Caenorhabditis elegans: one gene and its partners. The protein of the gene in region 2 interacts with the protein of the main gene of each other region in a biochemical or structural test. Each region holds a gene or a part of one and is shown on either strand. Other genes may lie near its edges.

What was found.
Region 1: the proteins of ifp-1 (region 2) and ifb-1 form a complex in vitro, tested with the Caenorhabditis elegans proteins (one study listed by BioGRID).
Region 3: the proteins of ifp-1 (region 2) and ifa-4 form a complex in vitro, tested with the Caenorhabditis elegans proteins (one study listed by BioGRID).

What each region holds. Positions count from the first base shown.
Region 1 is NC_003280.10:5,763,000-5,772,832, reverse strand, and holds ifb-1 (Intermediate filament protein ifb-1), read right to left. Parts: upstream 7,216-9,833; 5' UTR 7,192-7,215; coding exon 7,059-7,191; intron 4,612-7,058; exon of another isoform or gene 4,488-4,611; intron 3,889-4,487; exon of another isoform or gene 3,873-3,888; coding exon of another isoform or gene 3,833-3,872; intron 3,735-3,832; coding exon 3,484-3,734; intron 3,187-3,483; coding exon 3,065-3,186; intron 3,020-3,064; coding exon 2,231-3,019; intron 2,121-2,230; coding exon 1,919-2,120; intron 1,872-1,918; coding exon 1,764-1,871; intron 1,307-1,763; coding exon 1,142-1,306; 3' UTR 749-1,141; downstream 1-748. Other genes in the region: Doublesex- and mab-3-related transcription factor dmd-5, read left to right, coding at 149-370, 419-642. UniProt on the Caenorhabditis elegans protein: Cytoplasmic intermediate filaments provide mechanical strength to cells. Essential protein, involved in attachment structures in epidermal cells that connect muscles to the external cuticle. Required in morphogenesis and epidermal integrity.
Region 2 is NC_003284.9:9,673,273-9,681,673, reverse strand, and holds ifp-1 (Intermediate filament protein ifp-1), read left to right. Parts: upstream 1-1,504; 5' UTR 1,505-1,507; coding exon 1,508-1,618; intron 1,619-1,684; coding exon 1,685-1,798; intron 1,799-2,272; coding exon 2,273-2,557; intron 2,558-3,045; coding exon 3,046-3,423; intron 3,424-3,468; coding exon 3,469-3,633; intron 3,634-3,680; coding exon 3,681-4,560; intron 4,561-4,848; coding exon 4,849-4,919; intron 4,920-4,968; coding exon 4,969-5,121; intron 5,122-5,319; coding exon 5,320-5,427; intron 5,428-5,516; coding exon 5,517-5,582; 3' UTR 5,583-5,801; downstream 5,802-8,401. Other genes in the region: C43C3.4 (Penicillin-binding protein), read left to right, coding at 6,809-6,855, 6,922-7,040, 7,083-7,135. UniProt on the Caenorhabditis elegans protein: Cytoplasmic intermediate filaments provide mechanical strength to cells. Not essential protein.
Region 3 is NC_003284.9:4,910,593-4,918,439, reverse strand, and holds ifa-4 (Intermediate filament protein ifa-4), read left to right. Parts: upstream 1-2,460; 5' UTR 2,461-2,463; coding exon 2,464-2,554; intron 2,555-3,070; coding exon 3,071-3,354; intron 3,355-3,410; coding exon 3,411-3,695; intron 3,696-3,738; coding exon 3,739-3,834; intron 3,835-3,879; coding exon 3,880-3,993; intron 3,994-4,041; coding exon 4,042-4,215; intron 4,216-4,264; coding exon 4,265-4,553; intron 4,554-5,004; coding exon 5,005-5,084; intron 5,085-5,452; coding exon 5,453-5,728; intron 5,729-5,789; coding exon 5,790-5,828; 3' UTR 5,829-6,132; downstream 6,133-7,847. Other genes in the region: K05B2.2 (Ras-associating domain-containing protein), read right to left, coding at 6,456-6,615, 6,864-7,094, 7,151-7,235.

The DNA.
Region 1 (9,833 bases), on a different chromosome or scaffold from region 2:
AGAGCACTGTAAGCTTTACGAGAAGCAGATGCATTTGAGAGGGATAAGCTATTCACAATATTGATGGGATTAATCTAGATTAGCACTTTACAAGTCAATTGCTCTCATTTAAAAGATTAACCTTAACTAACCTTGCACTACCTTTCAGAAGAAAAATACGAAGACTCACAGGGACAACGGAGTTCACCAAGCTCTCCAACAGGTTCTGAAACTGTTGTAAGCACTTCTTCCCCACCTGAGCTCTCATCTGAATCAACACCAAATACCAGTGGCTCAGTGATTCCAACAAGTCCAGTTTTCAAACCAAATGGATACTCTTCAATGCCAATGTTCAATCCTGTGTATGGAAGACCATTCATGAGATTTCCGAGTAAGAGAGCTTATTCAATATTATTTCGTAAATTAAACTTATTTTCAGTGTTTTCAGTGATGCCGCATTTCTTCGGAACTCCATCAATGTCAGATTTCGCATCTGCTGCGAGCCTCGCAGCTCCACCAGCGTTCTTCTCAGCCCAGCCAACAATTGCCACGTCATCACCGAGCACAATTTTCCCACAAACTGCTCCATTGGATTACAGTCATCGTTTAATGAAAAATGAGGAAGCCGAAGAAGAATACCGAGAAAATGATAAAACATTTTGAGAAATTGAATATTTTTTCTTATCGTCAGAATCAGAGTTCCAATACTTTGTATATTTTTATATGGTCACATTTAAAATTGTATTTATGATTTGTCTTCAATTAAAAAAAACTAAACTGAATAAAAAATCTTATTAAAATTGAAAAAGAAGTAGAAAACATTGAATAGAAAGATTTTTCGGTGGAAAATGAGCGGGGGGAAACACTTGAAGTTTGAACGGGAAAAGCAGTGTATTATGAAAAGAATTGCAAACGTTTTTGTTCTTTTTTTGATGTTTTTTAAAATGAATTTCAGATTAGCGATTTTAAGTGAAGAGTCTTAAGCAAATCAATTCAATATTTTGGTCAGTTTTAGGCAGTTTCAATGAATCAATTTAAAGAAAAAATGTCGAGAAGGTCTATCATCAAGAATAATAAGAAAATTATGGACAGAAACTAGAGAACTTGAGTGATTTTGGGGAGTTGTTTAAAAGAGAAAAAGTTGTTTAAAAATAATGAGAGCTTATTGTCCGGATTGGATGGTCTTCTGGGTGTGTGTTGCACGCTCCTCTCCATCCTTGTTCACCAATGACGTCACAACATTGGCTCCGATTCCCCAGGTGTTCTCTCCATCGAAGACAAGAGACTCTGGTGGGTTGTTGATGCCTCCTTGGTCACGGGCGTAGATCTGGAAATTTATTGGAATTGGAATATTCTCTTTTCGAAATTATGTAGATTAGTTTCTCAGCAAATGCGAGAAACCCTTAGACTAACCCGAAACGATTAAATTTCATAATGAGACCTCTCAGAAAATGTTTCCAAATTTCTTATGGTGGCTCAAAACTTGGGGAAAACATTTTCAAATTTCTAAAACCTGTAACTCTGATAAAGAGCATTAGAGAAATAACAACTGATTTTCCGATATTGCTACATGGACAATCTCACAAAATTTCAGATTTTAGCAAAATTTGGCCATTCCCTTTCAAAATTTTTTTTTTGGAAATTTTCAGGTGAAAGTACGTTTTTAACGGGCTTCAGACTATGTTGGCTGGGTTTCTCAAAAATATAGTGGCAGACTAAAAAAATACTAAGAATATTTACATAGCTACACACTTTTTTCTAAAACAATGATAAAAATAACTTACGGTCAAGTTCTTTCCTGGCTTGATAACAACATTGGCTGGAATGGAATAGACAATTTCGCGTCTTCCATCCAACTTTCTTCTGATTTTGTGCTCACCAACATTCTCATCCTGAAATAAAATTTTCAACATTTCAAAACCAAAAAGCTTCAACATACCTTGTTTCTGTGCGAGTTCTCAAGCTTGATGAACTTTCCATTTGGATCACACTCGGAAATTGTCACATTTCCCTTGGCGGATCTTTGGAAGGTGGTCTTGGTGGATACCTCACCGCGAACTGATCTTGTCGAATCAGTGTTTTCTTGTTGTTGGAGAGAATGCGTCTTGACGGCTTGCTCAACCATTTGGGTGAGTCCGACTCTGCAAATATATTTTTGAAACTTTTGAGAAAGGTTTTAGAACAAAATGATAACAAAACTGCCCAAAATTTGGCTTGCTGGGAATATTGATTAAATAACGATAATAATTACCTGGTCTCTTCTCCCTCGAGCATTTTTCTGTAGATGGCAATTTCGGCGTCAAGCATTTGCTTGGTATCCAAAAGAGCTTGAAGCTCAGCAACCAATGTTTGGCATTCCTCACGCATTCTTCTCAATGTAGCATCTCTGTCGTTGAGGGCAGCTTCGTATTGTCTTTGATCGTCGGTCAATTGGTAGTTCAAGTTCTGAACTTCCTTCTCCAAAAGTGAGTTCTTGTTCTCCAAATCTCCCAATTTTCCGCGGAGATCTCCAATGTTGTCTCTCATTCTCTTGACCTCATCCCTCTGGTAGGTGGACTCCATATTGGCACGGTTGGCAGATCCTTGAACCTCGGAAACCTTGAGCTTGTACCAGGACTCCATGTCTTGCTTTCCTTGCTTGGCAATGATATCATACTCATCTTTGATATCACGGATGGCAAGAGCCAATTCGTTTTTGAAGAACTCTCTGGTGTCAGCTGGAGCCTGAGCAAGGAGAGCTTGAAGTTCCTTAACCTCTTGTTCGTGAACTCTTCTCAAGAATTCGAGCTCCTCCATCAAAGTCTGCACTTGATTTTGGAAGTCAATTCTGCCAATGGTCTCATCATCAAGATCGCTTCTGGCCTTCTGAAGTTCTTCCCAGATTCTCGAGTTGTCAGCTGTAACACGCTTCTCCTCATCTGTCAATTGCTTGAAACGAGCACGGAGCATCTCAACTTCGGATTGAGCATCAGCGATAGCATTGGTCCATTGGGAGATCTTCTCGCGATCGGACTCACGGCGTTGCTGGATATCTTCGTATCTGAATAAATATTGATAAGCAACAGAAAATTAAGAATAAATAAACCTGGATCTGTACTCAGCCAAGTCGTCACGGTGTCTGGCAACTTTCACATCAACCTCTGCCTTTCTACGAGCAGCATCGTCAATGTCCTTACGAGCTGTTGAGAGGGATTCGGAGTATTTGATCTGAAATTAACAATTTGAATAGGAAAGAAGCTTTAAGAAGTTTGTTCCAAAATATAGGTTGAAATTTTAAAAAAACACTGGACAGGAAGCGCACAGATTTTCTTCTGGTAAGTTGAAGATTTTAAGGATGTTTGAGAGAATTCTCTAATATAGTAAATAAAATCTTGAAAGTTTCGAATATATATCTAAATAGAAATTACTGATTCACAATCAAATAATAAATGTTTTTTCTACAACTACTTCAGTTTTTTGCTTGCAGAAGCTTGCTTAAAATTTATTTGAAATTCACTAAAATACCTTAATCTCGGATGTGTCTTTTCCCCATTTTCCGCGAAGCTCATCCAAATCAGCAACCAATTTACGGTTCTGCTCTTCGAGTTTCTTGACACGATCAATGTAATTTCCGAGACGATCATTGAGTCCCTGCAGTGTCTTCTTTTCCTTATCAGTCGCCTCAAGGAACGATTTTGCTGCGTTTGCGGACAAGGCCGGTGAAATTCCTCCGACTGTAGCTGATCCCATCTCTGTCACCATCTTTAGCACGCGTCCTGAACGTTTTTATAATGATAATTAGGAGATTAGATTTGATTTGAGTGTTTTTATATTTCTATTGGGAATTTATATTTCGATATTCTTCTATTCTTACCTCCTGACATTGGTGCCTGTGGCGCTGATTCAGCCTCCATTTCTGATGTGTTTTAGCTTGAAATTTTAAAGTTTTTCTAGAAGATTAAGGGAAAAAAAATAATGAGGAACAAGTTCGAAAATTTCTGAATGAAAAATGAAAAACAAATGGTATAGAAACTAAATGTAAGTGTCACAAACACTATGCAAAATAACGGAAACCGTCGACCAATTCTGACCCTCTTCTGAATACTCCACCCAACGAAGAAATAGCATTAAATTTGTGGAGAACTTAGAGAAAAAGAATGAAGGTGTGTCAATGGTTTTGCCTTCCCGATCATCACCGATGATAGAAAATGGAGAAAGAGAAGAAGATATAATGGTGATAAGTTGAAGACAACGGACATGTACACATACGTACAGATTGCGAGTTGACTGTGCCTATGAATGAATGGATAAATTGGAAGAAAAGTGGAAAGAGATCAAGACACTACTTACTTAGAAATTGAAGATGAAGAATACGTCAAGGTTGTTGTGGGCGGAGTCAACTAAAGATAATCATCTTGATCAGATCTCAATCATTCATTTTTGTTATCTTTTTTAAATTGCGGGGAAGCTAATTAATTTAACTAGGATTCCATTTTTGACATTTTTTGGTAAGGGAGATATTTTTGTTTCAGAAACTAAATCTAATGGTAGGAAGGCTTATTTTTAGGCCAACGTACCTGTTTTATTTTTGTCAATTTGATAGAAATTCAATTAAGAAAAACATCATTTCCAGTCCTCAAAAATGTTTTTAAGTTTAAGAATCTTGAAACACGGGCCGCAAAAATTGACTTATCTCAAGTTAGAACAAAATTGGTTAAAAAATTAGTTTTGACAACTTAAATGTAAGATGGGACATTTCTAATTGAAAAAAAAAACTCTACACCATCTTGCAATAAATCGGAGAAATCCGAGATTCTATCCGAGAAGATCTCATAAATCAAGTGATAATCAGTATAATAAGTTCTTGTCACTGTTCCACCCAATTCTCACTCATTAAAACTAAATGACTAATCACACATAAAAAATGGGTGTTTTCCATGTCTCAGTTTCTCATCATTCAAAATAGTCACATCTTGGGTGTGGTCATTCCTTCCTTTCTCACCTATTTCTCATCTATTTCGTAACTGTATTCTAAATTAAAAGTTATTCAGGGGATTCTTTTAATTTTAATTCGTTACCCAAAAAAAAACAAAATTAAAATAAATGATGAATAAAATCAATAAAAGCTCGGATTTCTTCAAAGTCCGTCAAGTTTTCAAGTGTGTTGAGCAGTCAGCCGGCTGGCGGAAAGTGTGCCCAAGAAACAACAAACTAAACATTTTGTTGACTTAATCGGCTCAATGTATCTTTTTATACATGTTATCTCAACTGGTTACGAAAATTGAAATATTGTATTTAAAACTGTCTGAAATTTTGGTGCCTCTTTCAATCTGTTATTTGCTTTTTGCATTTTATTTCCAAAAATGTTGCCATTTTTATGTATATGCATAGTTGAAGACTATTTGCCTAACAACTCTTTCTGTCATGCACTATAAACTTGATGGAACTTGAACTTTTAAATTCAATAGATTTTTGGTTTGAAAATGAAGGGCGTTCCTCAGTGATTATGCTAATTGTGAGACTGTATCGAGAGACGAGAAAACCCAGAGATTTATGGGATTTTTTGGATGAGAAAAAGTGGATTTAATGACGGTTGAATAGGAAACGATATGGGCTGCCGGAAAAAAATCTTGTGGTCTTATATTTTGATCTTGATCTCCAGATTTGCTTAAAACAATAAAAAAGAACAATTTTTCTTTTGTTATGGTAATGCCTGCCTATTTTCTATTTTCACAGTGAGTTAACTTGCTCAAAGAACAACTAAAAATTACAAACATAAAAGATAACTTGTGTTTAGGCAGCAGATACGTGCGTAGGCTTACGGCAAGTTATAAGAAGCTAATACTATGTAGTAAGTTTACGTACCTAAATCTCTGACTTAACAAACAATTTTCAATTTCAAATTTTTACTGTTAAAAACTGTTTTTAGCTTTTAATTAAATATATTTCGACTGCAGTTTTTGAAGTTTTAATTATCCTGACATTTTATGCTAAAATTGCCAATTTCAAATTTTCCCCATTTTTGCCTCAAAACTCCAAAAATATTAATATTTGTTTAATTTTTGAGGAATTCCCCCATTTATTCACAGAAATTTCACTTCATAAAAACCTGTTTCTAGATTTTTGTTAAACTATGAAAAAGTGTGGTTTCTTGCCAAGTGAGCAAATATTAAGAAAACTCATTAAATTAAAAATTGCATTTAAAGGCATAAAGTATTACTTTTTATCTTTTAACTTTTATAATTTCGAAAATAATTGATTTTAAGTGATATTTTTAAGCAGAAGATTTTGGATCAACTCCGAGTAGAAAAAATGTAAAATCCCTGCTCAAAATATTATCCTCTACCAAACTGTTCACCTTTCTCAAAAACGTTTCGTTTAGCCAAGAACAAATCAACGCGTTCGCACTGATAACGACTCTTGCTCTCTTTTTCTCGTTTTTATATTTTCTTTTCATCCTCCAGGTCTATATTTCCATCCTCATTTCTATTGTATAGCACAGCAAAAACCAATATTTACTTCATCTTCCAATTGATTAATAAAACCACCCAAACTATTTTTTTGCAATCGGATGAACGAGAGAGAGAGAGAGAGAATAAAGTGTTCGGTTCGATTGATGCGACTGTTCACTAATTCGCTTTGAATTCAAATACATAATTATGGATGGGTAGTAGACGGATAAACATGTAAACAGAGAAATAGAGAAAGAAAGGAAAAAAGAATATTGGAATATTGGTTCAGTTAATAGTTGATCGGATGTATAGTGTCAACTTGAATTAAGGTCATCTATAAGACCGGTCCAGGAGAAAAATAGCTTGAAGGTTTACTACTTTTGAAAAAATAAAAGTATATTCTGAAACTCTCAATCTAACAGGAAAGTATAGAAAATACGTTGGAAATTGAGTGATCTCTGAAGCTTAGACTTCAGTAGGAAATTTTTTTAAAAGATATATAACTATCCGGATTTCAAATCAAGAATTTGAAACAAGAAATGCTCCTGGTATTGATGATTATTTTCAGAGGAAAGGATATAGTAATAGCTGAAATTTTTTTTAATCTTTACCGTTTTCAACTTTAAATTTTTTTAAAATCTAACTAACCTCCGGATCCTGCTCCATTTCCACCAGACACGTAGTTTCCAGACTGACGTGATTGAGAGCGAACCGCTGTTCTTGGCTGGATGGTGGATCTGTATTGCATCTCGTACTCGGAAGATTCCTTGTGAGACGACATCTTCTTTCAGAAGTTTGACGCTACCTGAAATTTTTTTTTTGAAAATATAGAAGCTGAATTGGGAAAATACAGAAAACTGAGCAAAAAGTAACAATTACAAATTTTAATAAAAAGTGTTAAACCTTAAAACAACAATATGATAAAAAAAAATGTTTCTGCATCCTTCGGCATCCAATTTGTTCCTTATCAAAACCCAAATAAGCGTGGCCGGTTTTCAACAAACATACACACTCATATATATGTTCAACATTTTTTTGAGTACACTCCACAAAAAAACAGAAAACAAATAAGGTGGAGGAGGAGTGACTGAACACGCCCATTTTTGTTCATGGAAATCAGAATTGAATATGGGTGGAAGGACATGATGGTGAGTCAACGTTAACCTGTCAAACAAATTGAAACACCCAAGCACATTCCGGAGAATTGTTAGATGGAAGAACAATAGAGATTGAATTTCTCGCGCATTGTGCAGGGAAATTTGCAAGAATTGGGTGGAAAATGACGAGAAAATGATGGAAGTTAAATGATTTTATTCATGATTTTTTTAAAAGATTATCTTGATTTTTTTTTATTTCTGCAGACTACAGTAAATGCTTCTTATAATTGTTTTTTTCGAGCAACGTGAAATGATCGCAAAATAATAAAAACCTTCTAGGTAGGCACGAAACCTACTAGAATTCACAGGAAAAATAGGATGCAACCAAGTACGAAAGCCGGCAAAAAGGAATGATTTCATGCCTATCTCCTTTAAAGACTTAATTGTTCAGATCTGAAAAACTTTCTAAAAAAAGTGGGACAGCGAAATTTATGTTGCATTTTGTTTCGTAAAGTTTTCAACTTTTATGAATGATTTTGAAAATGAATTGCTGTTTTTTTTTTAATTTTAGTATTCATATTTTCATACCTAAAGCTTGTTGACTCAAACTTAAAATCATAATAAAACTAGCAAAAGATGTGAAGAAACATGTGGGTGTTCAGTGAGTCATAAAGTTGGAAATTTATTGAGTAATTGTATGACCAAGTTCTAATTGACACTACTTGAAATCCTAAACCATTCGGTTACTCATTCACGATAGTTTAGAAAGCTTAAAGTAACTTTGGGGTGGAGTGAATAAAAGTAGAAAAAGACACAGTGCTCCTGCTCTGCTCGGAGTAAAAAAGTGAAGCGAAAAAAATGAAATCGGAAAGACACACACACACAAGCATTCCTACAGAATACCGAAAGGGTATTGTGAGGACGGTCTGTTGCGCCGGGGGTCGATGAGGCAGAGGCCCTGAGAAGCGCCCCCACCAATTGCTCCGCCCCCATTTTGTTGCCGAACCGTCGAAAAACGAGCTGCTATTTGCGTTCCTCCTTCTTTTTTCTCTCTGCGCGCTTCACTTTTTGAAATGATGCGCTTGGCGTATAGGCGTATTCCGAGAGAATTTAGAAGAGATGACGACTACTTTTACCTCATAGGAAGTGGCCGATTATCACAGTCAAGGACAAGAGAGAAATGATTTGAAATGGAAAAATGAGGAGATGTTAGTGAGGGAATTGGAAGAGGGGGAGAATAAGACATTGTTAACATTTTGTTTTCATTTATGGGTGAGAATGATGACAAGATTGGAGGTACAAGTGATCAAATAGTTCTACGAAAATGTTCCGTGCTGGCTAAGGTTTTGCATTTTTAATGTTGGGCTGTGGTAAAAAAATTAAGAACTCATTGTCAGTAAACAAGTTTTGTAAACATTGAAACCTGTAAAAAAATAGTTTAAAATTATCGCCGTCCAGTACTAAAGCTGAGGCATACCGTATTTTCCCTACAAAGTCTGCACCACAATTACTCTACTTTGACGGCCTATTTTCCAATTGTCTCAAGTGTTATCAAAAAATTCTCTACAACCAAAATATAGAGACATATTTGGTACATATTTGGTAGTTGACAATTTATTGATAAAATTTAAAGCAACCGAGATATATTCTGCCAAAGTAGAACCAGAAGATACAAGTCTAATAGGAAGAATACGGTAAGTTGAGGCCAATTTCTAATCTCGAGGCAAATGTGAAAACTAGCATGCACAAATATGCCTACCCGCCTATCTACAGGTACGACTCTGCTTGCAAGAGAGATAGGCAAGGAGGTAGGTAGGAAGGTAAGTAAGTCTACTGGTAGGCGGGTAGGCATCATGCGCTCATTTAGCATTGAAAAATTATAGCCGATATGATAGCTTTCTTCCCGGCTAAGTGGGTAGGTCTCAATGCGCCTGTATGCAGGCGGGTGAGCTTTTTGAATGAATAGAAGGCTACATAACGTTGACCCATCTAATAATACAATAACGAACAAATTTTGAAATTCAGAAAGGAATAAATCCAATTTCAATTAATCATCTACAGACTCTACAGACTAGGAACTATCGCTCTTGTTGTTCTGCCTTTTTTTTACTGATTTTTTTTGGTGCAGTTTGAACCTCTACCAATTAATACTATGAGTCTACTGGTTTTCAATAGATGGTTTCGATGAAAAAAAGAAAGAGAAAAATGAAACTGATGGATTAGGCATAGTTCTCAGTTTTATGTCGTCTTACGGGTGGGGTTTTGTATTTTTGTTTTTATGAACTATTTGAATTTTGCAAATGAGGAAATAGTTTAGATGTTTAAA
Region 2 (8,401 bases):
GATCACACTGAACACAAAAAAATTTCCGACAATTGTTTAGGAGCAAACGACATTTACCCAAGAAATGTGCGTACCAACTGGAAAGGCATTTGTACTCGTTGAGGAATACTAATTTTGTTCTTTCTTCCAGGCGTGTTTTTGATCTCAGAGCTCGAAGAGTGATGATGAACAAAACGAAAACCGGAAAAGAAGCAAGTGGGCGTCATAGTTGTCGCACTTTTTGAATATATTCAATACAAGAATACAGTAAAGAAAAAAGAAAGAAACAGGGAATTTTTTCCTTGCTGATTCTTTTAATAGAGAAGTCCTGAGCAGTTCAAGGATTCCTTATCAGTTATTTTGCGTAAAGTAACTATGATTCACAAATTACCAATAGAAAATGCAGTTTTCACATTGGAAAAACAAAAAAACAAAAGCTATTGAACATTAAAAAATCGGTACTTGTGTGTTTTATGTATGCCCTCATTTAAAATTTAAATTGAGCTTTCATTAATTTCTCCTTTCAATATAAACGTGGTACGCATCATTCTTCGTTGGGCTTAGAAATGGCTATTTTCTAAGCTTAAAATTAAAAAATATTCCACACGTTTTTATTTTTTAGACTTATGGAAGTATCATTAAAAATAGAAACAAATTTGAAAAAGGAGCATTTTGAATTCGAGGAGCTAAAGCGGCATAACTGTTTTTTTTTTGCGTGCGAAAAAATTTTCATTAGCAAATTTTTTGTAAAATTTATTCTTTGGCCAATTATACGGCTGAATGTGAAGATGAATTTGTTTTTAATAAATATATGGTTTCTACATGAGTTCTCTCAATTAACCAGGTAAGTTGATTATGTTTAAAACAAATCGGAAATGGGCTGAATTGAAGCCCAGAGCTTCAATTCAATAGGTTGGAGAAATTACTGAGTTTCTAAATAAAAAGTATTTTAACAAATGACTCAGTTTCTCGAACTTCCTGAAATGTAAAAAACATTATCCTGTAAATTAATATTTGCAACTTGCAATGAATCATTTCCACCTCCTACAACAATTACACCATTGTTAGTACAGTTTGATTGCTCCACATCGGTGCATCAGTCTCTCCCCCTCATCTCCATAGACCACACAAATGTCTTCTCCCTCTTGATTCATCTATCTCTCGCTTCAAATAGCTCTTTATTTTAATAGTGATAAGAAACGTGCTAAAGTACCGCCAACCGAGTGAAACATGCTCACTAGCATTCTTCACCTACTTTACTATCACAATGGCATGCCATTAAACATTTTCCAAGAGTCGATTCGGTTTCCTGTCATCACGACTGTGAAAATTCGCGGTTTTCACTCGTGCTCGTACACCTATTGCATTTTTTAATTCACCTTTTCAAGTTTTGATAAGAAGTTTTACGCACTCGATTATTTTCTGCTTATTCTGCAATTTTTTGTCCTTTCAAGTCGCACTTTTATAATTTTTCATTTTGCTTTTAGAATTTTCTTGCTTTCTGGTCTTATGGTTACTGTTTCAGCGCATGGATTCCGCTAACGCTAGGGATTGTCTACTACATCTGGCAAGAGCTAAGCTCTCTGAGCGACAAGACCTTGTTCAGCTCAACGATCAGTTTGTGGATATCATCGAACATGTGAGTTTGTGTTATTGCCTATCATCTCTTCTATGTACTGTAAAACAAAATATTTAATATTTTCAGGTCCACTATATGGAAGCTGAGCACACTGCTTTGGAACACGACTACAATTTGCTAAAAAGTGGAGTCCAGAGCGACAGTAGTGGAATTAATGAAATTTACAATGTTGAGATCAGGGTGAGTGTCAATTGTTGCAGCTGTCTTATTCACGCTTCCAGCATTCTTGTTCTTTGTGCGCTATCAGTTTTCACTATTTACTTTCTGTGTGGGCTGAAACCATCAGTTTCCCTCACACAAGTTTTAGCGGCGATGAACTTGTTTACTCGTTAAAAGAAACGAAGCCTACAGTTTTAATGACTTAAAAGTACATTGAAGTTGTGCTCTTTCGTAGAGTACGATAATTTCCTTTGCTTGCGTGTCGCGTTAACTACAAACAATAATCTTTACGATCGTTTGTTTCCGAAGAATTCATTTCTTTAATTATCATTAGAGAATAAAGGGAGTGGCAACTAGAAACGTGCAAGCCGCCTACTATTGATAGCAAACATACTATCATTCTGGTCAGCTGTAAAAAATGAAACTTCTGATTAAAAACAATTTGAAGTATACAATTAATTCATACGATGTATCAATATTATCATTGTTTTTCAGACTGTCAGATCGGGAATTGAAGAAATTAACCGAAGCCGGCACGAACTACTAAATGAGCAAACCCAGTTGTCCCATCAAGTCAAAGAAGCCGAACAACTTTGGAGACACACTGCAAAATCAGCTTTGGGGGTTCCCAAAGAGGTTGATGATGAGTTCCATAGAATCTGTCATATCAAGATGGAAGATTGTATCACTAAGAGAAGAATCAAGTATATGGAGGATAAGCTCAGACTGATCAAACAGAACAATGGAAGAATTTTTGAGCATATTAATTTGATGAGAATGGTGGGTTCGATTTTTTAAAAGACTGTTAATACATGCAAAAACAATAGAGGTTCAATTTGATAGATTTGGAAAAAAAACTCATAAGAACTTTTCGGATATCAGTTTTTTGGGATAGATTTAAATCACACTGGTATTTTGATTGTTGAAATATATTCAGTAGGTACATATATAAATTTTTTTTTTCAAAAACTTATTTTTTTATTTTTTCGAAATGATTTGTTTTCATTTCGCCCAACACGGAAATAATGATTGTAATGCTAAATATAATTTTGAGCCAAAAACTATCTGTTAAAAAAAAAAAACATACAAAAAACTTAGCTGGCTCAAGTTTTCTGTTTTTCAGTTAGTAGCGTGAATGTCATGAAAGACTTGCACTGCCTCTCAAAAAACGCGAGGTTCCTTGTGATAAGCTAAATTTTTTGTCAACACAGTTAAGAAGTTTGACTCATTATCTTATTCATTATCGACTGTGAATTCTCTATATTCAGAGAAAAGATCAAGCTGTCAGTCTGCAACAAGAATATCTTCTTCGCAAGAATGAGTTGTTGCACAGTATCCGAAATATGGAGGAAGACAACAAAAAGATTATCATGAATGAGCACAAATACTTTGTTCGTGATCGCAATGCGGATCGTCACGTCTTCCGCGATCAACTTCGCAAGGCAATTGCTGATATTCGTGCTGATTATGAGGCTAACAGATTGAGAAACGAAGAAGAAATTCGAATTCGCTTGGAAAGGGAAATCCATCGAATGAATACCACTATGCCAGGAGTAGTTTGCTATGACAAACTGAGAGAGGAGCTTTCGATTGTTAAGAACAATCTTTCTGGATTGCAGAAACAAGTTTCTGAAGTTGAAATCAGAGTGAGAATTTGAAATTATTTTCCATGATGATTGTGTAATTTTCAGAACAATTCTCTCACTCAACAAATTGAATTCTATCGTCTGGAAATTTCGGAAAATAACAAGCTTTTCGAGGATACTTTGGAATTCAAAATAAAGGAAATTGAGAAGATGAGAGAGCAATGCACTGCCATCAGTGTTGAATTGGAGAAACTTTGTGACTTAAACATTGTATGTTGTATTATTTTGTGTGTTTATTAAATTGTTAACGTTTTCAGGACTTGCAAAAGGAAATCGCAAAATATCGGGAACTTCTCGACAGATCTGGAGATCCTCGTGCAAATGCGCCAAGTACTCAAGTTATAGCAAGCGCGCTTAGTCGACAGAACTACAGCAGCATTTCTGACCACCATAGCCGAACTTCTTCTGGAATAGTTCAGCACACTGCTCATCACGCTGTGAGAGATTCCTCGTCGTCCAGAACTGGTACCACTATTCATGAGACCATCACTCACACGCCAATTCCAATTCCTGCTACACTTCCTGTTCAACCAATTCGTGAATATACTTATTCGAGGGACGCGAGCCCGATTCGTCCATCATATACTCCGTACCAGCAGGAGTCTCGTGCTGATAGCCGATCTTCTCTCAGGGAGAGAATTCAAATCGAGACTCTCCAAGGCACACTTCCGGTTCTGCCAAGCCATTCGGTTGAAACAATTCGTGCTTCAGATAACACCCGATTAGTGAGAGACCTTAGCGCGGGAGGTCAGATTAACACAACACAGATTAACAATCCATACGCGTCTCGTACTCCAACTTCATCGGTCAATGATAGGATTGCAAGCGAACGTCGTGATAGTGAAATTCGTCGCAACGATGCTTTACATCAACCTTATCCAATTGGTGGTGCCGTTCCTCGAGTTGAGCCTACAATTTTTAATGAACGTGCTCCCGGTTACACTCATATTAATAGCAACTTCCCGCTAATTACGCCAGTGACTGAAGGAGCTACTGTCCCCTCATACTACGATACTTTTAATCGGAACTCGAGCCAAAGAGGGCCACATCATTCGAGCTATCATGCAGCAACAGGCTCAGTGAGCAATAGCATCTCCACTACTCTACTCAATGAAGGATCAATTGAACATAGCAGTAGTGAGTGGAAGACGGCTTTTAATATTGACTGACAACACCTCGTCAAATGCTAAGCTTTGAGACGTTTTTAAGCTGTCGAAAACTATCGTATCATACCATTTTAGTTTTTTCCAGATTAGTTTGAAAAAAGAGTTACTGATAAGACAAACGTACACAACCACCACAAACGAATCGTAAAATAACGTTTACGATTAAAAGTTTACTGTTACGTGTATTATGTAACGACAGTTGAGAGAACTATCACGCTAGAAAAATATTTATAAAAAAATACAAAGAAACGCATTCCAGGTTCCGATAGTGTTGACGAGGACAACTTCCAGAGATTCACTAGATGGTACAAGGGGAGAGTGAAGATTTCGGTAACACTCTTTGCTTTTTAATATTATTAGGACTGAACAATTCTTACAGGATGTGACTGCAGATTTTGTTCAACTTGTAAATAGAAGCTCGAAAAAATCGGCAGACGTTGGTGGCTTCAAACTTATTCACGAGTTTGGAAACAAGAGCGTATATGTTGATCTTCCAGTTGGATTGATCCTTGCACCCAAGGATAGCTTGAAGGTTATGCTTTTTCTAGTGTAGTTTATCAGTTCTTATATAATAGCATTCAGGATCCTAGAATTCACAAATTCAAGTTGATTTGCTTTGAAAACAGTGTTAACTTGTAGAAAAAAAAAATTGTTTTTTTTCAAACGGCGCAAAACTGAATACTACTTCTATGTCACCGATAAACTAGAAACTGTAAATTATTTTTTACAGATCTACGCTCGTGGAGCAACTCATGAAAGAGGAGCAGTTATTGCTGAAATTGACTTCTTCGATACCACCATCCATACCAATACATCAATCAGAAACACGAATAATGAGGTAAATAGTCTTTGATTTACAATTGTAAACACAACTGATTGACATCTGGCCTCTTGCCAATAACTTTGATTACTCCAATTATATTTCAGGTGAAATCGTGGTTTGTTTACACGAGCAACACTGAAATCGGAGATGCAGACCATCATCATCATTGATACATTACTAATGCCAAATTTCTGATAACATGATAATTCTAACAACAAATATATATTTTATTTTCTCTTGTTTTCATTTTTCACACTTTTTATCAAGAAACTTCTACTCGTTGCCCCTATTTTTTTCCACTCACTTCTTGAAAAAGGAAATAATTCTTTAATTCAATCCCAGTAATTCGTATTTCTTTCATATTCTGAATTTAAAATAAACCTATTACTCAAAAAAAGCTCACTTGCCCCGATTCAATTATAAACATCTGCTCTGTTTCGAAACTCTGCTAAATGTAATTTTTTTTTATTCAAAAATTAGAGATTAAAATCGAAATTATTTAAAGAGAAGAAGCAGTTTTCAGCTTTTGTTTTTTTTGAAAATCAGTTTTGATGGAAGTTTGAATTCTATTTTTTCTTCACAAAATTCCAGCGGTTTTTTTTTTCAAAAATAAACGGTTAAGCTACAGAGTATTTTCCACTAGTTCATCTGGCAATACACTTCAACTTCCAAGTAAAAATATTGCTTTCCCGTGCGGTCAATTATTGCTAAACCAATTTTATTCGTTGGACTGTTTTGAGTGACCCAAGAAAATAATGTTTTAAAAACTGTTCCAAGTACAAAAAAGTACCTCAGATGAGATAAAAGTTGATTATTATCATTTAAAAGTGAACCGTATCAAGTTTAAATTTAAAATGATTCACTCATTAATTAACGGGGGTGTTTGTGTGGGTTGAGTAAAGGCATAGACAACTCATATCATAACTCATTATCGGCGCGCCTGTCTTCCACTTACCCTCTTTTTCAAACATTGTCACCTAACCCGATCCTCTACCATTAGGATATTCACATCTGGCACTGCTAAGTGACCAATTCATATCCCTTTCCTCTTTTTTTCTTTGTTTTGGGCTCTGTTTCTCTTTCTTCCATCTCCATTGGATACATGTTTTCAAATTCTTCGCCACATTTTTTTATTTTCATCTACCACTTTTCCACACTCTCTTATTTTCCTTTTCGGGCTCATTTCTAGTCATTTAGAATTTTGTTCTGACTTGAATATTGAACATTCACCACTGGCTTGCGGTTTTTCACTAATATCTCTACATTTCTTGTCGACAAGTGTCTATTAGCAAAATATCACATCGTTCTAATCTAATTAGATAAGAATAATATTCGATAGATCTTCTTTGACACAAAAATTTTAGTTTGCAGGGTTGCTGAGAGCAAACCAAAAATAATGCATGGAGCTTTGGAGGATTTTTTGACAAAACGGGGATACTCAAAGTGAGCTTAAGATTTTATAACAAACATCTAATATACACCAACTAAAATTTAACTAAAATTTTGAAGATACGCATTGCAATCTGAAATTGTCACGGAAGATATGCTAGATGGAATGAGCTTCGAGGCCAATAGTTATTCTATTTCAAAAGACAAAAACGGAAATGATCAAGTGCAAATCAATCAAGGTAACTAGCCCCTGCAGATGTTCCGAAACAAATTTTTTTCAGCAGATGGCAAACCATTTGAAACACAAACGACAGTTGTCCAGAGTTGCAACTAAATATCTTTTAATGCCGGGAACACATTTATAATCGGTCAACAGATGCGGTTTCAGATAAGAACAACCCTGCATAATTACGCGTTTGTTTAAATTCTGAACTGTTTTGTAAGAAACACATAACATTTAATTTATATACTTCAGAATGAAATTCATTTCAACATTGTTTCCGTTGTTTTTTTTTAATATTCAAGTCAGACTCCTTGAGAAAATATGAATGAAAATATGACAAATTGAATTATTTCATGTCACAATTCATATTGTCTTGTAGTAAAAACGCAACATTTCATCAATATCATATTAACATGAAACGTTGCGTAATGGGAATTATTTATCGTTTATCCATTGCTATAATGAAAAATACAAGGTTTTGGTGAGCACGCAACTAGCAAAAAGTAGAAAAATTGATATAATCGAGGTTTTATTTTCATGTTTTATTTGAAATCTTTGTTGGGCATATGTAGGCCATAATCATTGCTTGGAGGGTGTAAAGAGAAGCGGTTTTTGATTTGATTGATTTAACTTAACTTAACGATTATTAATTACGCGTTACGAGAAATTTTTATTTCGAGTCAAAACGCGGAAAATTCAGTTTTTTCCAAATATTTTGAAGTGATCTATTAAAAAAAACAAGTTTTTATTTTCTAGTTTTATATTTTAATTATGGTTACAATATTTATACTCTAACATTGTACGGGCATCCGACAGTGATTGAGATGTCTCAATAAATGCCGCAAACAGTTTTCACCACTTGAGAAACAGTATTCAAAAAGTTTAATTTTGACTGAAATTTTGACTGAAGTACATACTTCGAGCAATGCGGCAACCGGACGAATTTGCAGACTTCTGAAAATTTTTGGCAACTTTTTCATTTTTAAAAAATTTTTTTTAAACTGCCAATGAACAAAATACTTTTTCTTAGATACAATAACGCTATTTCAATGAAATTCAGATTAAAATAAAATGAAAAAACTTCGTAAACAATTTTCTCTGATTGTATACTGCAGCGTTAGCAGTTCCAAAATTTTCATTTTTCTTTACATTTATTTACGTTTTCTGCATTGCCACCTAAGTCTCTAAATCAAATTTTTTATAAACTAACAAAAACTGAATTATGCTACTTTTGTCACAAAACTTTGTTTGTGTGTTTATGTTCTTCTCCCCTCACTGTCCAGGAAAAGAGTATGGAAAAATGGCTCGTGTGCGTAATGTTTATTCAGTCAGTAGAGTTGATGCTGCTCTCACTGTCTCATTTTCTCTACGCTAAAC
Region 3 (7,847 bases), 4.8 Mb from region 2:
TTTATGTGTTTTTAATACGTTGCAGACGACGTAGTTTATCCCCAAGCTTATTGTCTACATAGATCAAAAACTTGCGTTGCTTTGTATTTGAGTATATAGAATGAAATCACTAGTACTGTAACTTTCCTAAACCTTCTCGTGCACTTTTTATAATTGAAAATTTGACAAAAGGCTAAATTTCGCTAAAATTCTCCAACTTATACGTGTTTTAGGACATTAGGTTTTATTGAATTATTAATAATTTAGCATATTTGCAACGCATACCTGTGTTTAATTAAATATCAATTGAAAACATACCTTACTAATTAAAAATTAGATTAATTATAATGATAGATAAAAATTAGAAAAATTAGATAATTGAAAATTAAAAAATAATTAGTTGACATAAAAACGCGTTATGATTAACCAAAATGCACCAGAAGAATTAAGCAATTTAGTCAACGTTCTTGGAAAATACAACAAAAAATACCACTTTTATTATGAATTTCGGTCTTGTGCCATTTTATACGGATAGTTTGCGATGTGGCGTTGCTCATTTTACAAAAATTGCAAAATTGCCAGTGTAAGTAGAAAATACCAATTAAAAGCTAAAGACGCATTAAGAAATAATTTCCATTTCAAATAAACGTTGTTGAATTAGTAATACGTGTGTTGTTAGTTTAATTTTCATTTAAATCTCACCAAAATTCAATTTTTACTATTTCACCTGCGTGCAATTTTTGACTCATATGCACTACCCAACAAATATGTTATTTCCCTACCTCCCCCTCCCGCAATTGTAAAGCAAAAAAGTAAAAAAATGTTTAAAAAGAGACTCTCAAAATGCAAATGTTTGTTTTGATACCCGCTATCAATCCGCCCTTTTCGCCCATTTTTTCTTCTCTCCCTGATTTTACAGGCCGAGTTTCGTTTGTGTACATGAAGGCAACAGCTCCGCCTCCGTGTTATTTTGCATATATATTTCAGGCAACACCTACGGTTTGTTTGTCCGACACGGTCTCCTTAAAAGGGAGTACTGTAACTGAGCTTTTTTAAAAATGACACTGGTTCTATTTTTCCAATGCAACCTTCCTTTTAAACGTTAGTATAATACTTAAAAACAAAAAAGGAAAGTTTGTTTTTTTTTCTAGTTTCTTAATTAATAAAGTTCGCATGTACTGAAAAAATGACTCTTTTCCTGATGATAATGCAATTTATTTTATACAAATCATAAGTTTCATTAATCAACAGACATCTTAGCATTATGTTTCAGAACATTTTATGTAGATTTGAATTTTAAGGGAAGTTTTAATTTTAAATTCCGTTTTAAAGAAGACCGTTTGCCGTGAGTTTTTTTTTCAGTGTTGTTTTTATTTTAAATGTTTAACTTCAATTTTTTGGCAGTTTTAAAATGAACTTGTATACAAACAATTTCATTAATAATTGTTATTTTGGCTGTACAAGTAAATCACGAACCATAATCAAAGGCTGACTTGTAAGATGTCGGCCGATTTATCTAAGAACGAGATCGCGGGGTGCAGATTTGAAACAATCTGAACCTGTAGACAATATAATCAGCTAAATTTTATTTATTGAACTTTTTCCCAACGCTAATAGTTTCTGAGATAGACACAATCAAATAAATTTCAGAATTATAGATTAAGACCCTTTTGAACATTGAATTTTTAACAAGTCGTAAACATTTCACCTAAATTTTAGAACACGCAGTTTCGATGCTCTGAACTTATTTTTGTCAATTTGTATTCCCATTATCCTCCCCTTATCGCATACTAAAAATTTTTCCATTTTTCGATTTTAGTTTTGACGTGCTTATCTTTTGTCATCCCTTCACAACCAAAACAATTCAGAATAATATAAGGTGTTTACGATCCTTTAATACTCATGAATATGGAAACGTTGTGAAACAGTAGCATTGTGTATAAACACGCCATGACGGCAGCTAGCATCTAGTAATCGGTCACCGAATCGCCGTCGCCACCGCCGTCCGCTTTTGAATAGCGGTCAGTGCGCGTTCGTCAATAGCTCGATGAACCGTTACACTCTCCCAGTTTTTAGTTTCTGTTTCATTTTCTGTTTCATGCCTGGTTTTTTCCTTCTATAATTTGACTATACAGACAATTAGGAGTAAACCCTCCTAGGCATCCTCTTTCCACGCATGCCAAGTCCCGTCAAAATAAATAGTGCGCGCGCCAATTTGTAACACGGTTTTTTGTTCTGTCAAGAGTTAGGGCTCTCGAAACAGCTAATAGATCTCGCGCATTGTCATTGTGTCCTACAAACGATCCATCTCTAATCTGTGTCATATTCACTCATATTCTTGTCACATATGTATAACGTCATTTACTATGAGGTAACTTTTCTACACTTTTTCATCGAAAAATAGTTCGCTGTGTTTTTTTTTTAATTTTCGATTATGAAAATGCAATTAATTGAAAACTATTTAAGTTTCCATGTTTGTAGGAAATGTCGGAGAGCGAATACCGAAGCTCAATTTCGGTTCGACCAACGTTTAACAGAACAATGCAATCCACCGCCACCTATGGAAGTACTATTTGTGAGTTTTCAGATGAATATTTTGAATATGAGCAGTACTTTGTCTTTAAAATTGTATTATATGATGTATTATATGATTTATATTAAAATTAAACCCTCCAAATGTTTTAATTTATGTTTTACAATATTCAATTGGCAATATGCCAAACGTTCAAACAACAACCCTGACCTTTTGAGAAGTTTTGAACATTTTTGCTGATCTGAACTTTCAAAATGTACAAATAAAATCAATTAAAATTCAATTAAAAGAAAAAACTTGTGGAATGTTTTATTGTCTCACTACCAAAATTATGATTGGTGAAAAATGATTAAGTGAACTTTTTTGACTGTAAAGTTAAAAATAAAAATTTAAAAAGTGTTAAAAAATTATTAACATTAATGAATTGATTCCTCTGGAAAACCTACAAATTTTTTTTGTTTTATGGTCATGTTTGTCAAGTGTTATTTTTCAGTTCTGATACACGTTTAAAAACTACTTCAAACTACAAAAACTGACTTCCAAAAATTCAAATTTCAGCTTCTGGAACTAGCCGCACACTCAAGATCACAGAGATCGGTGGATCTAATCTAACATCAGGCATGTCTCCATTCGGAGGCCATGCCGCCTCTGCCATTCGTGAATCTCGTACTCGCGAGAAAAAAGAAATGAGTGAACTCAATGACCGCCTGGCGAGCTACATTGAGAAAGTTCGATTCTTGGAGGCTCAAAATCGCAAGATGGAGAAGGACTTGAATTTGCTCCGTGGAAAATGGGGACACGATTCTACAAGTGTTAAAGTTATGTATGAGACTGAGCTCAGAGTAAGTGAATGAATATTATATACAGCAAAATCTGAGAAACTTTAAATTCTGTTCAGAGTGCGAAAGACCTGATCGCCGATTCTGACAAAGAAAGAGCTCAGCTAGAAGATCAAATTAAGAAACTTGTTGAAGAGCTGAACAACTATAGAAACAAACTTCATGAGGCTGAAAGAGGTGCTGACGTTACACGTAAAGAGCTTGACAATGTGCTCGGAAGACTTGGAGCATTGGAAGCCGAGATTGAGCTATTGAAAAGAAGAATTTCTCTGATGGAAGAAAGCATCGGTCATTTGAAGCGCGAAAATCATCGTATGATCGACTCACTTCATCATGCCAGAAATGTAAGTTTCAGTAGAAAACTTAATTTATATGTACAGCTTTCAGGCTGTGGAACAAGAAACTCTGAACCGCATCGATTATCAAAATCAAGTGCAGACACTACTGGAGGAGTGTGATTTCATTCGCAGAATTCATGATTCGGTATGAAAAACAATTAGTACAGCTTTCAACGAGTGTCTTTTTCAGGAAATCCACGATCTTCTCGCTATGGCATCTCGTGATACTACGGTGGAAAACCGCGAATATTTCAAGAATGAGTTATCCTCTGCTATTCGTGAGATCAGAAGCGAATATGATCATGTGAGAAAAGTCATTAAAAGAGGTAAAAAATAGAGACTTGAATTACAGGTGAGCAACACTACCCGTACTGACATCGAGTCTTGGTACAAGCTGAAGGTTCAAGAAATTCACACTCAAAATTCTCGCAACTGCTTGGAGCAGAATTATGCTCGCGAGGAAGTTAAGAGACTCCGCACAACACTTGGTGATATGCGTGGAAAGATGGCGGATCTAGAAGGAAGAGTTCGTTTTGATGACTATATACATCTGATATTATTTGTCAACATTTCAGAATCTTCTCCTCGAAAAACAAATCGAAGACCTCAACTACCAGATGGAAGAGGATATGAGATCATATGAACAATCACTGAACGATAAGGACACATCGATCAACAAACTTCGTGACGAGAGCAAGATCCTGATGGTTGAGCTTCAAATGCTCATTGATACAAAACAGACTCTCGATGCTGAAATTGTGATCTACCGTAAGATGCTTGATGGAGAAGAGAATCGCGCAGGTCTACGTCAGCTCGTCGAGCAGGTTGTTAAGACAACATCTATTCATCAAACCAAGGAAATTGGTAGGTTCGCGTATACTCAATGTTTACTTCACGTTACGATGACCACAAATTACGGTTAAAATTTAAAGTATACGTCCACTGATAACTTGTTTCAAGTTTTCAAGTCATGCGGTCACCAAACTGTGTAACGTAACTTTATTATTGTTTTCCGCCCAGAGAGACCGCTGGGTGTGTCCCCTTGTTGATATACCTTGGTCAATTTAGTACTCCTATTTAATCGCTTTACTTTTGATTTGGAACAGCATTGTTTCATCTTTAACCCAAAAAAGTAACATGCCAGAAATTCATTGTTCTCAATACGAGACTATCACTTTTGACGACGTTCCCCATACCCATTACCTTGTCGGTGATAAAATTCGCAGAAAGCCGCACGGTAAGATTAATAGGAGTAATAGGTGTCACGAGGCATTGTTAGTTGCAAATTTATATCAGTTTTTGTGTTTTGTTGCAGAGAGTCTTCGAGTTCTCAAAGGTGAAACGACTAGTCATTCGTCGTATTCCAGATCAGCAAAAGGAAATATTGCAATTCAGGTGAGTGGAAATTACATCCCAAAAATTGATGTATATTCTGAAAAAAACAATTATAGCAAAATTTTGAAAGCAATCATGGACATTTTTTGAGCGAGTTTTTGCCTGCAATTTCCACTGAACACTTCAGAAAATGACTATTCTTCAAAATGGCCGTGCACAAAATTTAGAAATATGTGCCTGGTGTGACGATTTTGCATGATCCGACATTAACCGGGTTCGCTGCTCACTCAGAACCTAGTCCTGTGCAAAACCAAATATATGTCGGATCATGCTGAACAAAAACTTTCCTTAAAGTGGCCGTGCCCAAATTTCTGAAAACAGTGTTTTCGATTTTTCATTTTTGCAAGAAAAAAATCCACCATTTTCAGGAAGCCGAGCCATCTGGAAAGTACATTGTACTGGAGAACATCTCAAGACGTGATGAGAACATCGGAGACTGGAAACTCCGTCGGAAGATTGCCGGAAAACGCGAAATCGTGTTCACCTTCCCGCGCGAGTTCACCCTTCGTGCTCAAAAGAGCGTGAAAATTTTCGCACGTGGGCAGGGAGTTCATTCCCCACCCGATAGTCTTGTGTACGACCTCGAAGACTCGTTCGGCACCGGAAACGACGTCGTTACTACTCTCTACAACAAAGAAGGAGAGGTAAGCGTCAATAAATTATGCGCGCTGGAACTGACTGGAAACGTTATTTATCTTGTTTCAGGACCGTGCTTCCCACAGCCAACGTGCTTCACACACCTAATTGCATCAACCAATTAAATCCTATTGAACCCGGAATTACTCTCGCTTGCCTCAACTCTCTACTTTTAATGTTTGATCGAATCTTGACCCAAGATACATTTGTTCTCACCGTTAGCCATTCCTATAAATGTTCGGATTTTCAGAATAAACCAATACTGTTTTGAACCGCCAAAGTGAAACATTGATTTTCGTTTCATATCATACGAAAAGCCTTTCATTTTTTGGCTAACTCTCTAACATTTCCATTGCTTTACCATGTGCTTTTTCCATCAATTAACATTTGTAAACTATAAACTGCTTATTTTATTTCTGATCAGTTTGCTTGGTTATTTTTTTGGGAACTTTTTGTTGGACAACTGGGGGAATAGAAATGGGTAAATGCACAGGGAAAGTAAGGAGAAATGACATATAGAAACAAATACAGAAAAAAGTGATTCGTGGGAAAATGTAAACTTTCCAGAGTCTGATGATTGAATAATGCGGTAAGGAATGAAGCCAATTCTTGAGTGGGGGTTTGTGAGAGGGAAAAACTTGAAATAACTGAAGTGGGATAAAGCCGATAGCTTGACACGTGGATCGACAAAAATACACAGATAACATGAACGCTAAAATTTTGAAAGTAAGGAGCTCAGGCAATGACAGTTAGTGGGGTGGAGGTCCCTGAACATCCCAAGTCGAAAGATGTCTCCAAGACTTCTGAATTCTCATCTCCATTCTCATCTTGCTTCTTGAACTCGGCCAACTTCTTCATCAAGTCTTTTTCGGTTTCTTCGACGCGCAAGATGTCACTGAAATTTAAAAAAACAATTAAACAAACAGTTCTTCTAAAGTGCATTTCGTTTGTCAATTTTGTGGTCCAAGTTGCAGAATTTTGAATACATTTGGTCGACGTGACGTCCTTGATAAGGCAATCAGCCGAACACTCTCAATGTCAATAGATAAAGGACGACGTGGTCACAATCACGTGGATCGATATGATCATCATAATTTCCGGGGTCTCTTTTGTCTGGCATAGTTCAAAGTTCAAAGATCTTACCTTCTAGTCTTGTTGATTGCTTCTTTTGTAGCTGCTAGCGAAGCCTTCAGCTTGTGCGATTTCTTGAGCTCAAGTTGGTATTGTTGCGGCCAGTTTGCAGCGATCATCGGCTTCAGAATTGCTCGCAAATTTTTCTGTTGCTTAAGCAGTTGACGAAGCTCTTCCTCCTGCACAAGATACTCGGCGACTTCTTGTTGATTCATCGTTTCCGACAACTTTTTCACGTCGGCTCTGAAATTTCTTCAATTGGGAGTAAGGCACAACCAATCAGATCACCAAAGACTCACCTTTTGAAACAATCAAAATCGTCTTTCTGTGGGATAGTGGCGGCGCCCATCGTGATATTCTTTTTCTCCATGACTGACATGTAGTCTGAAATGAGATTATATACTAGAAGACATGGTCGGATGACGATGAACTATCCGGTCAGGTCGCGTGGGCGGTCTTTCATACTATTTTCAACCAAAAACCGGAGGAGGATGTGAGATAGTGTGACACAAAATTTGCAACACTGCTAGATTTCTAAAAATATAGTTGCCGAATTCAAATTGACGTAATATGTATTTTTTTCTTTTTCAAAAATCACATTTTTGATTGTATTTTTTTAAAAACTGAAAAATAAAATAAAATTGAAAGTGACGAAAAATGGTTCACCGCGGGGAGTGGCCAAACTAAAATCATCTATAAATAAAAGTAAAACTGATTTAAACTTTAAATGGCTTAGATAACGTTAAGGGGACAATTTTCAAAAAAGATAGAGAGTAAGAAAGAGAGAGAGAGAACGATTGAACAAATGACAGACAAGTTTTTTTTCATTCTGCAATCAACTGAAGCGGTCAACACCGGGAGGTTATCGAGAACCATGTACCGAACGTGAAAAAATCAAATAGAAGCAGTCTTTTGTTGACAATGATTTGTACTTTTCCGGGGGGCCGTCTTTGTGTTTCCGTTAGTACTTTACTTTTCAAAAAGTTGGGTGCCAGT